Linked DNA regions of Canis lupus familiaris. The protein of the gene in region 1 purifies or fractionates together with the protein of each later gene. This does not show direct contact. Links are inferred from orthologs where the notes say so. Each region holds a gene or a part of one and is shown on either strand. Other genes may lie near its edges. The genes, in order: TNS2 and SNTB2.

Region 1 (7,593 bases):
AGGCAAGGAGAGCGTCTTCGGCTCAGGTGGCAGGTGGCTGTGGGGCCCGGCCCTCCCGCCCCTGCTGCCACCTTTGCTACCCACACTGCGCCCCGTTCTCCCATGCCTGCCTAGGACATTGGGGCCCACGATGCACCTCTAGGATCCTTTCCCTTTTGGCGAGAGGTTTTGTTGGACCCAGGAAGCTGCTCTTGAGTGCCTTGGGACCAGGTTTCTGGGGCAGGTGTCATTCTGCCCTTGGCTCTCCCCCCGCAGCTGCTGGAGTACTTAGGCAAAGGCAAGAGCATCGTCGACGTGGGGCTGGCCCAGGCGCGGCACCCACTGAGCACCCGTAGCCACTACTTTGAGGTGGAGATCGTGGACCCTGGAGAGAAGTGCTACATCGCATTGGGGCTGGCCCGGAAGGTGGGCACTTGTAGAGCTGCTCTGCTCCGGGGCTGGCGGGATGGGGTCCCGAAGCTCTTGGGAAAGTTGGGGGGAGGTGGGCAGGCTGTGGAGGGAGGGTCTTAACCTGGGACAGAGCCCCCTCCCCCCATGACCTAGGACCCAATGGAAGGTCGGCCTGAAGGTGGGATGGGGTGGCCTGCAGCCCTGGCTGGGAAAGCCAAGTGCCCTCGTCCCCCTCCCTGCTTCCCTGGCTTCTCTAGTGCCCGAGAGGCGTGGGAGGCCACAGGGTTGTGAGCAGCCATCTGTCTGAAAAGATTGAAGGTTCACACGCCCTCTGTCCTGTCCTCTTTCCGCACATGGTACCTACCGTAGGTTTTCTTTTTCCTTCTTGGTGCAGGACTATCCCAAGAACAGACACCCTGGCTGGAGCAGAGGCTCTGTGGCTTATCATGCAGGTGAGTGGGGGCTGCCCTAGAGCTGCGGGGTATGTGGAGGCATAGAGACACGCCTGTTCCTGACACCCCCCCAACCCCCCGCGGATGGTCTCCCCTCCAGCCTCTGGCAGGGGAGACTTTCCCCGGCTGCTGTCTCCTCTCCCTTTCCCAGGCTGGTAGTGCTTTCTCCTGATTTTCCTCGTAGCCTGAAAAGCCAGGGGAGCCGAACAGGGGCGGGGGATCTGGGCCCAAACTGGACATTCCAGGCCTCTGAGTTGGCTCCCTCTGCGCCTTCTTGTAGATCCTGCCTTTTTTTTTTTTTTTTGGATCAGCTTGATTTCCTTTAGGGCTCTCTTTAGAAAGCAGTTGCCCTGAGCTCCTGGTGCCACCCCGTCCCTTCCTCAGCCCTCTCCCTCTCCCTCCAGCTCCCTGAGGGAGTCTGTCCCTCAGCCCCTTGAACAGAGTGTCTCTTTTTTAAATCTGGGGCCTCTTCCTATTTCTGTCTCCATTTTTGTTTCACCTTGACACACCCCCACCCCCGGGGGTGGGGCAGAGAGGGAGGCAGGCCAGCATTCTGCTTGAAGCAGGGACCTCTCTGTGTGCAGGGGCAGAGCATCAGCCCCTCCTTTGGGTGCAAGTCTCCTCTTCTCCCCTCCCTTCAACAGATGATGGGAAGATCTTCCATGGCAGTGGCGTGGGGGACCCCTTCGGGCCACGCTGTTACAAAGGGGACATCATGGGTTGTGGCATCATGTTCCCCCGGGACTACATTCTGGACAGTGAGGGTGAGTGGGTTGAGGGTGGCCGGCCAGGCGTGTCGGGCCGACGGTGGGGGCAGCACCACAGGGGCTCACGTTTTCCCGGCCTCCTAGGTGACAGTGATGACAGCTGTGACACAGTGATCCTATCCCCCACTGCCCGTGCCGTCCGGAACGTCCGCAATGTCATGTACCTGCACCAGGAGGGAGAAGAGGAAGAGGAGGAAGAGGAAGAGGAAGAAGATGGGGAAGAGATTGAGCAAGAGCATGAGGGCAAGAAGGTGGTGGTGAGTGGGGCGGGTGTGGGATGGGGGTTGGACTAGGGTTCCTGGGTCTGGGGGGCCTGCCCCTTGGGGGATAGGACGGGAGCCAGAGCGCGCCGATGAGGGGAGCCCTGGCAGGGGCTGCTGCTCTGAGGAGCTACGTGCCCCTGGGCCGCCGTGGGACCTGGTTTCCAGACGCCCCCTAGTGGCCACTTCCCGCTGAGGCTCCCCTCGGAGGGCCTGGGAGGGGGGGGTGCCCTGGGGTCCCGCCTGTGTGTCTGTGGCATCAGCAGAGGGGGCCAGAGCCAGCCTGCTCCACTCCTCGCCCTGCCTCCACCCCCAGGTTTTCTTCACTCGGAACGGCAAGATCATCGGGAAGAAGGATGCTGTTGTACCTTCTGGGGGCTTCTTCCCCACCATCGGGATGCTGAGCTGTGGGGAGAAAGTCAAAGTGGATCTCCATCCCCTAAGTGGCTAGGGGCTTCTCCCCTAGACCTGCCCTGCCTCCTTTCCCTCACCCTTTGCAGAACCAGGTGCCCAGTTCCTGCCTCCCCCCGGGTTTGCTTACCCAGCAGGCCCCAGGGAGTGCGTAGCCCCTCTGCCTCTCTCGGACAGGTCCCCGCCACGCCCCTCTGTGCCCACGTTCCTGACCTGTGCCATCCTGACCATCAGTCAGTCTTGGGCCTAAGTCCCTGGTTGGAAAGGAACAGGTCCAAAGGATGGTGTTGCTATACTGGTGGGTCCCCCTTGCTTTGGCTGGTGGACTCCCGCACCCGCTTTTCCCCACGGGCCGTGCAAGTGGAGAGGAGTGGGCCCCGTCTCAGCTGCTATTTGGGCATGAGGCTTTGCAGAGGGTGGAGTAGAGACTGCCCACTCCCCTATTTATCACAGTATTTCTCTTTGCATCTTCTCTTTTTTGTTCCTTGTCCTCATCGTGTGGACCAGTTGCTGCTGTCGTCCCCCCTGGCTGGGCTAGGGGGGCTCTCTCGGGCCTTCCCTCTCTTTCCACTGACTGCTGTCCCAGGAATGCTCCTCCGGGGTCTCCGCTCCTTCCCCTGACAGCCCGCTTGCTCCCTCGCCGCCTGCTCAGGTGCCGTAGAGTCCCACAGAGAATCTGGGTCTCCGGCTCCCCGCAGCCATACACACCTAGGTGGGTGTCCGTGGTGTGTTTAACGGAGTGAGAGGGGCTGCTTGGTGAGGGGGCTGGGCCTTGGCTCCCGTTCCCTCCTGGCCAGCCTTGGGCTACCCATGGCGCCCCATCTCTGGTTCCCTGGGCTGTAGGCAGAGTCCAGAGCAGTCTCTCCTGCCGTGGTGAGGCCGAGCCCCCAGAGCCGTGGTCGTGAGCCCAGAGGGCAGTGTGGCCCCTCGCCCCCGTTCCCCACCCCACCCAGGCCCCAGCTTGCTGCCTGTGCCAGTTGCCTGTTTTGCCTCAGTGTTTGACTCTAGCACTTACATGTGTCCTCCCCAGCCAAGCCCTCCTGTCTCCTGCCGCCTGACCCCGACCCCCTTCCCATACAGTGACTTCTCCTGGGAGGAAAAGGGGGCGGGAGCTGTTAGCCTTGGTTTGCACAGAGTGGGTGGGCCTTGGGGAAAGGGGGTGAGCTGCTGTGTGGCTGGGGTCCCCCCTTCGGCCCTCCGCTACGATGTATGAAATGTATGTACAGCCCAGAGATGTTTATACAGCCAATAAAGACGGAGTTTCTGTATTTATCAGTACAGTCTGGACAGGGGCGTCCTTTCCAGTCTATAGGGCAGGGGCAGGGCTAGAGGTGGGCGCAGCTGAGGCAGCTTGCTCGCCGGAGACCTGGACCAGTGTGAGGCCAAGGACGGGGATCGTGTGTGTTCTGTGGACCTGGCTGTGGCCTGGGATGCCCCAGGAGACGTGAGGCTTTGACCTTCCCATGAGCAAGGCTTGACTCCGACTCCGAGGTAATGTTCTAGAAATTCTTTATTAGACAAAAATAGACTCTTTTTTTTTTTTCTCCCCTATTCATGTGATCCCACTCTGATCCCTCTGCTCGGAGGGGAGGCAGAGGAGGGAGTGCCTTGCTCCCCGCCCGCCTCCCCGGCCTGCCAGGCTGGGACCTGCAGCTGGGTGGAGCTGGCAAGCCCTGTCTCCCCTCCAGGCCTGACGTTCTGCACGCGGGGCTGTCCAGATCCCCCCGGGGTCCAACTGCCGATGCCGCCTCACCCTTCACACGCCCGTCTCTGCCATCTGCGCACATGCGGGGTCCTCTCACAGGCCCATCCACTTGGCTTAGCAGGCTGGGGGCAGGGAGGAGAGCAGTGTCCCGGGCTCCCCGCTCCCGACGGAGGGGGCTGGCTCCTGGGGCTCCTGGGCCCGGGGAAGTGAGGACTGTGGGGTGCTGAGAGGTGCGCGGTGTTGGCGTGGGCTCCGAGCTTGTGGCCTCTGCCTTCACTTTCTCTGGCCCAGTAGGACTTTGGTGATAAAGGTGACAATGGCGCCCGCGGGCTGGTCTGGGTCAAGCTCTGCGAACAGGTGACACACGTTCTCCCATGGGCTTCCCGGCTTCTTGGCCACGAAACCAAAGATCCTAGGGGTGCAGAGGCAGAGTGGGGACGGGGCTCAACATCCCTTCCACAAGACACTGCTGAGCCACGGCTGGAGAGGGAGGCAGCGCCTGGGTCCCGTGGGGGGCAGGGGCTCGTGGGAGGCTCACTTGGAGGTGGTCCCGTCGGGGTTGGTCCATCTGCGGGAAGAGAAGGACGGTGAAGCCATGCACCCAGGGTGTGTGTCGCGGAGGAGGTCTGGGGGGGGGGCTGCCTGGCGGGAGCGTGGGCCGTGGGAGCCGGGACGCTCACCTCCGGTCCTGAGGATCGGTGCTGGAGAAGGTGATACTGTTCACCGGGTAATGGCGGCGAAAGAAGAGCCTGCGAAAAAAAAAAAAAAAAAAAAAAAAAAAAAAAAAAAAAAAAAAAAAAAAAAAAAAAAAAAAAAAAAAAAAAAAAAAGAAGAGCCTGCGAGGAGGATGGGGGGTCACAGCCAGAAGCGGGGGCCCCTGGGCTCCCTGGGCTTGGTGCACATACTCACTTCCTTTGGTTGTCTGTCAGCGTGATGCCCTGGGCCGAGACCTTGAAGTGGACGACGGCTGGGGTCGGCCGGGGGCTGCAGCTCAGAGCTGCCGAGCTGGCCCGGGCCACCGCCTGCGGGCCCGTCAGGGACTCGGTCTCCACCGAGGTCAGGTAGAGCACGCTGCAGGCTAGGGGCAGGAGAGGCCTCGTCCCTACCCTCCCCTCCCCTCCGCGCACCTGCTGATTGGCAGACGCTACGGTTTCCCCGGATCCACGGTGGAAGCTGCCGGAAGGAGCCCCGGGAGCCTGCGTTCTAGCAGGTGCCCATGATGCTGAGGTCCCAGATGGACGATCCCCCCGGTCAGAGACCCGCCCCCCCCCACGTCAGGGCCTCTCTGCGCCACCCCCCCTGTGCCCGGGGGCTCCTACCGGCGCCCTGACGGAGGAGGTCTGCCGCCGTGCTCATGTTGGCGGGCGCCGGGGCCTCTGGGGTCTCCTCCAGAGGATCTGAGGGAAGGGAGGGCCAAGGGCGGAGCTGAGCGGGGAGTCACCTTCCCTGGGAGCTGAAGACTCTGTTGCCCCAAGGGGGCACAGCCTTGGGCTCAGCGGGTGACGGGGAGCGGGCGGACGGACAACAGGACACCGACAGGACACCCACCTTTGCTGGGGATGCGCAGGCAGCAGGGCAGGGACAGCGGGGAGATGGAGTGCTGGGACACCAGGGCGGACAGGCTGCCTGCGGGAGGAGGGAGGCAGGTCCTGAGGCGCCCCCAGCTTTCCCGCCGGCCCCCCTGGACCAACCTCTGACCTTGGTACCCCCTGCTCACCAAAGTAGGGCTCGCTGGGACAGCCCTTGATCTTCACCCCTTTGGGCCCAGTCTCAATGAGGAAATGGCGCACCAGCTGCTCCAGGGGGTCCCCTGTGGGGAGGGGACAGGAAGGCTCGGTCACACCCTAGGGCCCAGCTTCTGCCCCTGCTGGGCACCTCCTGCCTCCCCCGTAGCAGGTGGCACAGCCCAGCCTGCCCTGTCCTGCCTTGGCAGCCTGTCCCCTCCACTCCTCTCCCCTTTCCCTCTGGTCTGGGCACGCGTACCTCTCCAGGGCTGGGCGCTGGGTGGAGCTGTGGCTACCTTGAGGGCCAGCCCATAGGCTCCTTGGAACGAGTGACTGTCCCTGATCAGGAAGGCGCCAGGGTCCTTGTCCTTCAGCAGGGCAATGGCTGGGAGGAGGCGGGAGCAGTGTCAGTGGCTGCCTGAGCCCCGGGTTGCCCCTCTGCCTCCGCCGCCCCAGCACTGTCGGGTCTAAACCTCCTTGGGCCCAAAGCCCAGAACCACCTGCTAGTGAGACTCAGCCCAGGGAAAGGGCGCCAACTGGAAGGACGGGTCCTGGAGCCAAGGCCAAGCCTGGAGGGGGATGGGAGCGGCACGCTGGCCTCTCACCTTGGTCACGGGACAGGTGTGGTTTGTACCAGAACTTGGACGTATCCTGGACGAACTTGACGTTGCTCTGGCTCTCTTGCGCAGGGGGCTCTAGGACGGGAGGGACTGGGCTCGCCGGTGCTTCCTAGCGCCCACGTCGTGTCCCTCTCCCTGGGAGGTGGACAGGGTTCTCCCAAGGGGGCCCCGCCCTCCTCAAGGCCTTTATACCTGGGGGCTGGGGGACTTGGTCCGGGAGCAGAGGTGCAAAGGTGACATGGTGACTGGTGCCCCTGGCTGGTGGGGAGGCCTGCTCGGGGCCCCAGGGCCCTGGCTGTTGCCCAGGTCCCAGCAAGTGGCGTTTCTCGGGCAGTGGCGGCTGCGAGGGGCCGCTGATGTCATAGGAAGCGGCCACGGGGAAGGCAGGCGTGGGGGAGCTCTGCGGCGGCTCCGGGCTGGCCACGAGCCAGGGCATCTGGGTAGGCACGGGGGTGAGGGGGGACCCGTCCGGACTATCCGGCGGGTCTCGGAGGCCCTGCCAGGGGGCATGGCGGAGGCCAGGCAGCGTGGTGGGCACGGGGCCCCGGGGGCTGGCGCTGTCCGAGCGGCTCCCTGGGCTCCTCTCCTGAGGCCAGTCGTGGGGTGAGCCGGGCGGGGAGGCGGCGGGGAAGGGGCTCGGGGCCGGGAGCTCAAGCCCGCTCCTCGCTGGCGCCTCGGGAGCCTTTTCTTCGGCGCCTCCCTGGGGAACGGACGGCAAGGGCTCGCCGGGACTTGGCCTCTGGGTGGGCACCAAGGTGGGGGACGTGGTGTCCTGCCGTCGGGTGCTGCAGTTTGGGAGGGCGGGTGGGCGGGCGGTTAGGGCGCGGAGCCCCGGCGGGAGCCGCTCCCCCCACCCCGCCCCCCGGGCTGCTTGGGCGCCCCCACCCCGGCCCCTCCGCGTACCCGTCCTTGCCCTGGACCGGGCTGCTGGTGTGCAAGGGCGTGGAGGGCCCCGAGAGCTCGGAGGGCGCGCTGCGTGGAGCATCACGGGGGGAGCGAGGCAGGGTGCTGTGCCCGCTGGGGCCCTCCCTCCAGGACGCCGGCTCGGGTGACTCTGGGGAAGGCGACAGGAGGGGCCATGAGCCTGCGGCCCCCGCTGCCCAGCTTGGCCCTGTCTCCCTCTGTGCCGCCCCCCCCATCTCCCTTCCCTGGGCGCTCGTCCTCACCTGCGGATGCCAGGGGTCCTGCTGGGGCCAGGTGCCCAGGCATCGGGTACCTGTCCCCTCCCTCCTCCGCGGGGATCTCGTAGCTCAGCTTCCTGGGT
Region 2 (8,486 bases), on another chromosome or scaffold:
AAAGCGTGTCAACAGCATGGAGGTAGGATAACAAGAGGACTGAGTAAAGGTACTAGAAATCTACCAGAGTAGCTAATCTAACAATACAATAAAGTATCATTTCTCTATTAATAGCTTTTTGGTTTCAACCAATCTATTTTGGAGCAATTCAAGGATTACAGTTCAGATGGTAGATTTTTGTTGAATATAATCAAACCTTCATTAGAGAACAAGGAGTCATTTGCAAATGGCATTATTTATGAATCACATCAAATGCAGAATCACTTTTAAAACTTAAATGTGCTTTGGTTCAGTCACCTGAAGTGGGAAGAAGAAGAGGTGGCAGGAGATTAAGCTCAAGTTTATCAGTTTTGAAACAAAAGAAGAAATCTTATAAAAGTATTTTGTTAATACATAACAACTGTTCTTTCAGTTGGTAGTTTAGCTAGTATCAAAAAAAGACAACAGATGTACAGGTGTGCTCTATGAACCTATTTTTGGTACTTTATTTTAACTAAAAATTCTATGCTTTGATAGAATTTGCCAGATTTTTCTTTAAAGAGAAATGGTTTCAAATCTGCCACTAAGTAGTCTATTTCTAGCATAAATTTCACTTATCATTACATGATAGGAGTAGCTATGTTGCTCAAAAACACATAATCCTGATATATAACATAATTATTTTATAACTGTCTGTTATCACACATTTATTGTCTATATACCCAGCACAGGGAAGGAGACAGTTTTAAAAAAGGCGGCAGGGGAGAGACTGCTACTGTCAATCTTTGAAGACGCTATGTAGAAAGTCAAAAGAATTCTAGATTACCAAGCAATCTTGAGAAACAGAACAGTAGCAAATGGCAGATTCCTCTGCTTTCATCTTCAAGAGGGAAAAAAAAGCCACAATAACAAATTTAACTGAAAGAGATTTTCAAACTCAAGACAGAATATAATATAATACTACCTGGTACATTATAGACCTGATGGAGATATACATACAAAAAGAATGAATATGATTATGGTCAAATTCAACTTAAAGTTTAAGCAAAGTCCCAAATTTAAAGAAGTCTCTTTTCCTTATTTGATCTGACCAGAGCAATCTGCTTTGAGACCAAAGAGATCTGGCATTTTACTTCTTCATTAGCAATCGAAAAAAGATGACCTTTGGCTTTCTAACCAGCCATTCATTCATGGTGTCAATGGTGGATGGCAGTGACAATGAAATGTATGCTGGATATTTGGATAATTTCAATATTATGTACAATCAATAGCTTATAACCAGTGAAAATAATAAGAACAAAGTTCAGCGTAAATGTCCAAGATAAGACACAAAAAAGCAGAGAAAGTGCTTAAGTCTACAGGTCTTCCCTGAAAGCTTCAAAAATGTTTAACTTTTAAGTAGGTAGGGCTTTTAATAGAATTTGCATAGCAGCTTACAATATAATTTGCATTTAAAAATATGGAGATTCTTCTATGTTTTTGAAAACATACAAATATATCCACATGCATATAAATTAAACAAGAAGACCTGGAGGTTCTCACAAAATTAAAAAAAAAATCCATCACAACCTTTTCTCAAAAGTGGTCACACTTCTGTCCATCAAAATCATTTACAATGAAAACTTTTTCTGGGAGAAACATAATCTTGTCCAGATTCCACACAGCTAAATTTAAAAAAAAGAATAAATTTTGGTTTATTAGCTAAGTGCATTTAATCAGCTGAAAAAAGCTTTGTTGCCATTCTACTTAGGAAGATAAATTAGGAAAATAATCAGAGACAACTTTAATCATTTGTTGGTTAGATTTTTCCACTTATAAAAATATAAAAAATAAATAATTCAACCTCTCCTGCCATCTAATAATGTTCCACAATAAAGTTGTGAGGGTACAGCTGATAAAAGCAGGCACTATCAGACTTTACCTAGCCTAAAAAGTGCTAAAACATGGCTTTAAAATAGATGAATGACATTTAATGTAATATTTTTGATTGCTTGTGCATGTTCCAATATTTAACCTGAAACTGTCTACTAGATAGGTGAGTTTACAGTTATAACTATCTAATAAATACTGTATAAACATACATTAAAGTATTTCTTCATATAAGATCTTAGAAACTAATTTTCAGATAAGGTTTGTTTGATAACTTCAGGAAAGGGCTTACCTTTTTCAGAAAAGAAATAACTGAGCCTTTTCTTTCTTTCTTTTTTTGGAGAGCAAAATGAGAAATTTAGGGAGTGAGGAAGAATTTTCACATGCCAATTGGCTACTGGTAGACACATCTGTGTGGAATATGGAGAAGATGTCTAAGCCCCAGGTCTGGGGTTAGTTGAGAGCACAGGAAGCGGGTCCATTGGGATGAGGTGGACACTACTCTGCAGTTTCCATTCTACACATGGAAGCCCACAACATTCCCAACAATATTCCCAATTCAAAATGAAAAAGAAATGACAAGTTAAGCTGTTCTATAAAATATGTGAAATACCAAAAATGCCCATTTTTAGTTACCATTTGAAAATATTTTGCCATATTTTGGCATCTTAATACAAAATACCTATTTATCTAGGCTGTCCCATTCATAAAAAGCACTTCATTTGTGGTTTGAAAATTCCACAAACACACTTAACTGAAGAACAACCTGGTCATCCATGATGATGATTGGAAAGCTGCTGATGTTAAAAAAGCAGCTTAAGGGCTCTTGCTGTCAGGGGTGCTAGTGGTCAAAGGAAACCTCCCACATATTTTTATTTCACATTAAGACTCCAAAGATTAAAAAACAAAACAAAACAAAAAAAACCCTATGGACCTTGGTGTTATATGTGACAGTTCAAGCTTGAACAAAATGAGTCAAAATGGCTCACACGCCTTACCTTCTCCTGCTCACATCTTCATCACATCTTTTTTAGAGACCTTTTTCATAGAATTTATGAGCACCAGGGCTTAGAAGTTCCCCCTGAAAATATTCTCAGTGGCTTAGCCTTTCACACCACCACCAACAACAAAAAACCCCAAACAAATGGCTTTGCTGCAGTCTGTGGCTGCATGTGCAACTTTTCAGGTTAATAATGCTTTCATGGCAAAGAGTGTCTAAGCTCCCTTATCTGAGGGTATTATGTGTTGAAATTCTGCTTCCAGAAATCATAGCTGGACCTTCAAGATTCTATTTTTTTGTTCCCTTGCAAATTTACTTCACATGGAACCAAACATAGGTTTATAAATCCCTAAAAGATAAAGTTCTTGAAAGACATACTCTAGATTTCAATTTCCAGTTTTAGGTGGATCAAATAACATTTCTAGAACTGTAGCTGGGGGAAGAACAGTTCTCTCTCCCTGGCCTCTACATGTGGTTAATCTCATGTACAAGGAGGACTGACCGACAGGCAGAGGGGAGACAATGGGGTTACATTGTCTAATTCACTAACTCTCTCCTCATGAATCTGCTCTTTAAGATGTTCCACCTAGGTCAGTCTGGACTCACACCAAATAGCTCATGTTTTGCATTTATGGTTGTGGGTTTTTCCTATTTGGAGTGCTACCCTCTCCTCCACTCTCCAGAATGCTCACATCTTCTTTATGGCACTCCTGGTAAATCTCGTGAGAACTGTTCCTAGACTTTCCTTCAGAGAACATCCAAGTCAATATAACCTTTTCTTTCAGATCTGGGGGCTGTGGTAATCTTGACATCTTATACAGCTATTATACTATTTTAAATGTTTTCAGATATATACCTCCCTCATTATCAGGAAAAACAAGCTGAGCGTGATTCTTTAATACTACAAAATCAGCAATCTTACTGGTACTAAGTCCTAATGATGACATCTGGCAATGCTTAGCAAAACCCAGGAAACTGTTCCATGGTCTCGTCACCCTGCCCACTGCAGAATGCATTACTATGCCAACATCACTGAGTTAGCAGCTGCCTGTCCATGCCACTCTGCTGCCACAAAGGGAGAGGACCAGGGCCAGGATCCTGCATGGGCTCACAAAGCCCAAAACAGCTCAATATGATGTTTGTGCTGAAGAGCTGGCTTTACAGGCAGAGCCTACTCTTTAAGCTAGTGGGCTCTCCAGGATTTATCTTCCTCAATGAGATCTGCCCACTAGAAAAGACACTACTAAGGAAATTCATCTCAAAGTCTATTCTTCAAAACTAAGATGGATGATCTCCCTGGAATGGCAGTGATATCCAGTTATTCAAATAGTGACTAATAAAGCTCCACTAACCCTAACCAAAGGCACATTTGGTAAGCAATAAAAAATGGCTTAGGCTAAAATGAGGATTTTCTTTTAAAAGAAATCTTATCATCCCCTGGCTCCTACCAAAGATAAATCAGAAAAATCTAAAGCAAGCAAACCTCTTCTTTCAGATCAGTGGTTTCCAACTTGGTCACCACTAGAAAGGGAGTGGAAGGCAACACTAATAAAATTTCACAAATTTTAAGTCCTAATGTTAGCACTGATGAGTGACAAAGCTTGTGGTGTGTTGGAAAGGTGATGATGACCAGGGTGAGATGCACGAGAGCCAAGACAGATGGGAGAATGCTTTGGTGTGCAATTCGAGGACTTCGAAAGGTGGAAGGATTAAGTGACAGTAGCCTTTGACAGAATGTACAGCCTATTTGGAATGGCCAAGAAGCACAGGCGGCTGTCAACTAGCATGTGGGAAGAGATGGTTGAACTAAGCCAGACACCAAGGCTAAGCTTGAAACAAATCCTGCAAGAAGAAACAAAAACAACTCATGGATATTTGATTATGTCCCCCAAAAAACCCCACAACGAACCATCCTTCTTCACAGGGGAAATAAACCTAGTGACTTAGAAACCACATTGGGAAACGAGGCAATAAATCAACAGCTTCAGTTTGGAGCTTATTAGAGTCCTAGAATTTCTGGCAAAGGTAGCTTGTGAAAGGCAGGCTCTTCTTTAAACACGGTTACTGTTCAGCAGTGATCTGCAGGTTCTTGTCAAGGCACTGTGCTGGAGGAGAGAGCAAAGAGCTTGCTTTTTGTGCTTTTTGTGTTTTTTTTTTTTTTTTTTTTTTGAGGTGGAAATACTTCTTGTGACATTCAAGACTCTTTTCTGATTTTTTGCTGCTCATACGAGCAGTCCCATGCGAGTGACTTTGGCTGACAAGAATGTGTGCAACACAAATACGATGGGCTTCGGACAAGAGTGCAGGTCCATGGTCTGTGGAGAAAGCACATGAATTATCACTACCACACACAGAAGCTTTCATAAACAGAAACAAAATAAACACATTTGGATGAGATATTCTACATTTTTAAAAGATTTTATTTATTTATTCATGAGACACACACACACACAGAGATAGGCAGAGACATAGGCAGAGGGAGAAGCAGGCTCCACACAGGGAGTCTGACGTGGGACTCGATCCCAGAACCCCAGGATCAGGCCCTGGGCCGAAGGCGGCACCAAACCGCTGAGCCACCTAGGCTGCCCCAATCAATAAAATCTTTAAAAGAAAAAAAAAAGGAATGATTTCCTAGCGTGGGTAAAAGAAAAACACACGTGTACACACAAACCCGAAACCAGAATCCAATACATCTTGAAATCTGAAGAACAATCTCCTGACTCCAGATGGACTATCAATCCATAATTTTCTATATAGAAGGTAAGAAACAATGAGAAAGAAAGATAATACCTATTAAACATACTTTTCAGAAACACCCTTACCAGTTCTCCCTCAGGACCACCAAAATCCAGGTACAGATTTCTGATGCCATCATCAGCAGACATTTTCAGCCTTTCAAAGGGGTAGCGGTACAATATGCTGCTGGAACCTCCATTTTCCTTGGAGATGGTGAACCCATTTTCATAGTGGACAGTCAATCTTACCTCTTGGCCATTTAGTGTGCAGCCTGTTGAAGACAAGGAAAATCCATCATTGATAAAGTTACTACTTTAGTTATCAAGTGGAAAAGGATGCTTCTGACTTAAAGGAAAAAGAATCTTTACTTGAGAATATGTGATACCTACCTGATTTAGAACTCCTTAAAGTAAGTTTTGTTTTGGTTGCTTGGATCAACATCTTGATTGAGGCGAGAAAAAAAGTATCTTTTTCTATGACACCTGATCTGATTCAGTTTGATTCAGTGAGTATCTATTAAACATTGGGCCTGGCAGTAGACCGTGTGTGCAGAAGTAACAGGCACGGTCCCTGCTCTCAAGGACTTCATAAATGAATAGGCATAAACATGAAATTCCTAACTGTATTAGGTAGAATGTATAGAACATGACTAAAACACTAGAACGAATAAGGCCAAAATCAAGGAAAAGTTTCCTGGAGGAGTTGGGACTTCAGACAAGCCCTAAAGAATAGGTCAGACTGGATAGGCAATACAGAAAGGTTTTCAGTGAGCAAGAAGAAAAAAAAACAAACGAGAAAAGGCAGAGATGCCTTTTAGGGGTAGTAACATGGTTTGGTTGGTATTGGTGAAGAGGATGAAGATAATGTTCATTATTGAAGGTAGTGGCTATAGTTAGCCAATGTCAGTCCTGTCAAAGATAAAATTCAAAGGATTGATCTGAATTGATAGGGGAAAAAAAACTTTAATCAAGACGACACATGCCTTCTGTCAAGATTGGTGAAGTTTCTGTTTCAATAACATGTGAGCAGTTTTGTTAGTATCGGAGCTACAAGTATAAGGTCCTCTGAGACCTGGAAATTAACTCAGCCCTTGGAAAGATGAACTTCAATAAAGGATCAGAGTCACACTATGCTCGGTCACAAAAAGTAGCTTCCAAATAAGTGAGTCCTCCTACCCAGACCAATCAGGGTATTCTTTTACTCCACTTGCAAAAACATTCAATTAGTTAAGACAGATCTGTGTTTAAAAATAAGGAATAAGAAAGAAGAACAGACAAATATTGGCAGTGTCCCTTCTCAGCACAACTTAAAGAAGAGGATTTTGGACAAAAGACTTCGAATATTAGTTATCCTCAGGAAAAAAAACCTCAGGGGCGAAACATGGATAAAACTACTTGTAGAAAGTAATTCAATGCAATGATCTCCGAATAAATAGCTAAGGGTTTGGAGGAAGAACAGATTCTAATCAAAGCAACCAGGATACAGTTTTCATGAGAATTTTATTCTATCAACATCCCTGAAGCCTTGGCATAGTCTAGGATAGTGAAATCTGATTAGAAGAGAGGGGTCAGTTCTAGTCCAGAAAAGAAAAGCTCAAAGAACAAGGATCTGTTCTTGACGCACTGGCTAGAGAAGGCGCCACGCAGGTGGGTGAGTATTTCTGCCTCCAGGTGTGTCGCTAGTGGGGCCAGATCAGGTGACTGCAACTAGCAAAGCCAAGTCATTAACAGCATAAAAAGAAGTTTCCTAAAGGTTCTGTTTAGGATTGTTTCCCCCCATGAGGGAAGGAAAGGAAAGCAAATGTAGTGTCTGCATGTTACTTAAGAAAAAACTGGGGCACCTGGGTGGCTCAGTTGGTTAAGTGTCTGCTTTCAGCCCAGGTCATGATCCCAGGGTCCTGAGATCAAGCCCCACAGACTCGATCTCAAATTTTGAAAAAGAAAAACAGAATATTGTTTATGATCATTTCAAATTTGAAAGGAAGGACGTTACACCGAATATGTTTGGGTTTAGAAGTGAGTTTGTTTTAATTTAAAATTATAATTAATACCAGATAATTTTGAAAATATAAATTGGTCATAACAATACTGTGCCTAATAGTTCTTAGTTTAGTGGTTTCTCCCTAAATGGTAGGTAAACATAGTGAAGCAATGGTGATTAAGTACCTGGCACCTCTCATCCTCAGATGGTGTCAGGAGTAGTGCACTAAAGAGCAAAAAGCCTCTGACTGATTTAACAAATATGTGAGTGTGTGTGTGAGTGCCTGGAGGGCAGGCAGCTGTGATAAGTGGCCCTACTCTGATGGGACAGGATCTAGGACTTAGTGAAGCTTTGAGCTGTTCCCAGTGGCTTATTACAACCATCCTGATTCAACTAAAATCCTTTTATGGGCTGTAAATCCACTATGCAACTCAATTTATAGGTAAGTCAGTAAAAAAGGTAATGTGCTGATTTTGCTTAACAGAGCTGTTGTCAGAAATATAAAAAGACACAACAGCAGCATTCAAGAACAATCACAGAACATCAAATACTAAAGTTTAAGAAACAGAAAAAATACCACAGTTTTTGAGGTAATCAAGGGAGGAAGAGAAACATCTAGTGCCCAGCAATGGGGGCTTTGTGTTCCTTTTGGAGGGTACAATGTGGGTTTATGGTGTTAAGAGCTCAAGTTAGGGGAAGCGACTTCATAAGCCTAGACCCAGAATAATTAGAAAACTACATGAAGACTTAACAGTCTAGTAAAGTTGTGAATTATGTGTTAGTTTGCTGGTTTGTTTGTCCATTAAATCATTTATTGCTATTTTTTAAATTCTTTGCTTTCATAGGGCAGTAAGGATGACAGATTGGTCATCACAAACTACACTGGAGAAATCATTGTGGGTTTTTTTTTTTTTTTAAGATT

The links.
Region 2: the proteins of TNS2 (region 1) and SNTB2 purify together in Homo sapiens (affinity purification with mass spectrometry; 4 studies listed by BioGRID and IntAct, with this or other methods). This does not show direct contact. The link is inferred for Canis lupus familiaris from reciprocal best matches to the Homo sapiens genes TNS2 and SNTB2.

What each region holds. Positions count from the first base shown.
Region 1 is NC_049248.1:44,547,861-44,555,453, reverse strand, and holds the end of TNS2 (tensin-2), read right to left. Parts: coding exon 7,496-7,593; intron 7,384-7,495; coding exon 7,233-7,383; intron 7,115-7,232; coding exon 6,522-7,114; intron 6,405-6,521; coding exon 6,315-6,404; intron 6,095-6,314; coding exon 5,969-6,094; intron 5,796-5,968; coding exon 5,703-5,795; intron 5,612-5,702; coding exon 5,534-5,611; intron 5,383-5,533; coding exon 5,305-5,382; intron 5,064-5,304; coding exon 4,895-5,063; intron 4,735-4,894; coding exon 4,666-4,734; intron 4,554-4,665; coding exon 4,524-4,553; intron 4,398-4,523; coding exon 4,259-4,397; 3' UTR 3,773-4,258; downstream 1-3,772. Other genes in the region: SPRYD3 (SPRY domain-containing protein 3), read left to right, coding at 256-405, 785-842, 1,487-1,606, 1,694-1,866, 2,186-2,320. UniProt on the Homo sapiens protein: Tyrosine-protein phosphatase which regulates cell motility, proliferation and muscle-response to insulin. Phosphatase activity is mediated by binding to phosphatidylinositol-3,4,5-triphosphate (PtdIns(3,4,5)P3) via the SH2 domain.
Region 2 is NC_049226.1:80,930,908-80,939,393, forward strand, and holds part of SNTB2 (beta-2-syntrophin), read right to left. Parts: intron 5,856-8,486; coding exon 5,671-5,855; intron 5,164-5,670; coding exon 5,071-5,163; 3' UTR 1-5,070. UniProt on the Homo sapiens protein: Adapter protein that binds to and probably organizes the subcellular localization of a variety of membrane proteins. May link various receptors to the actin cytoskeleton and the dystrophin glycoprotein complex.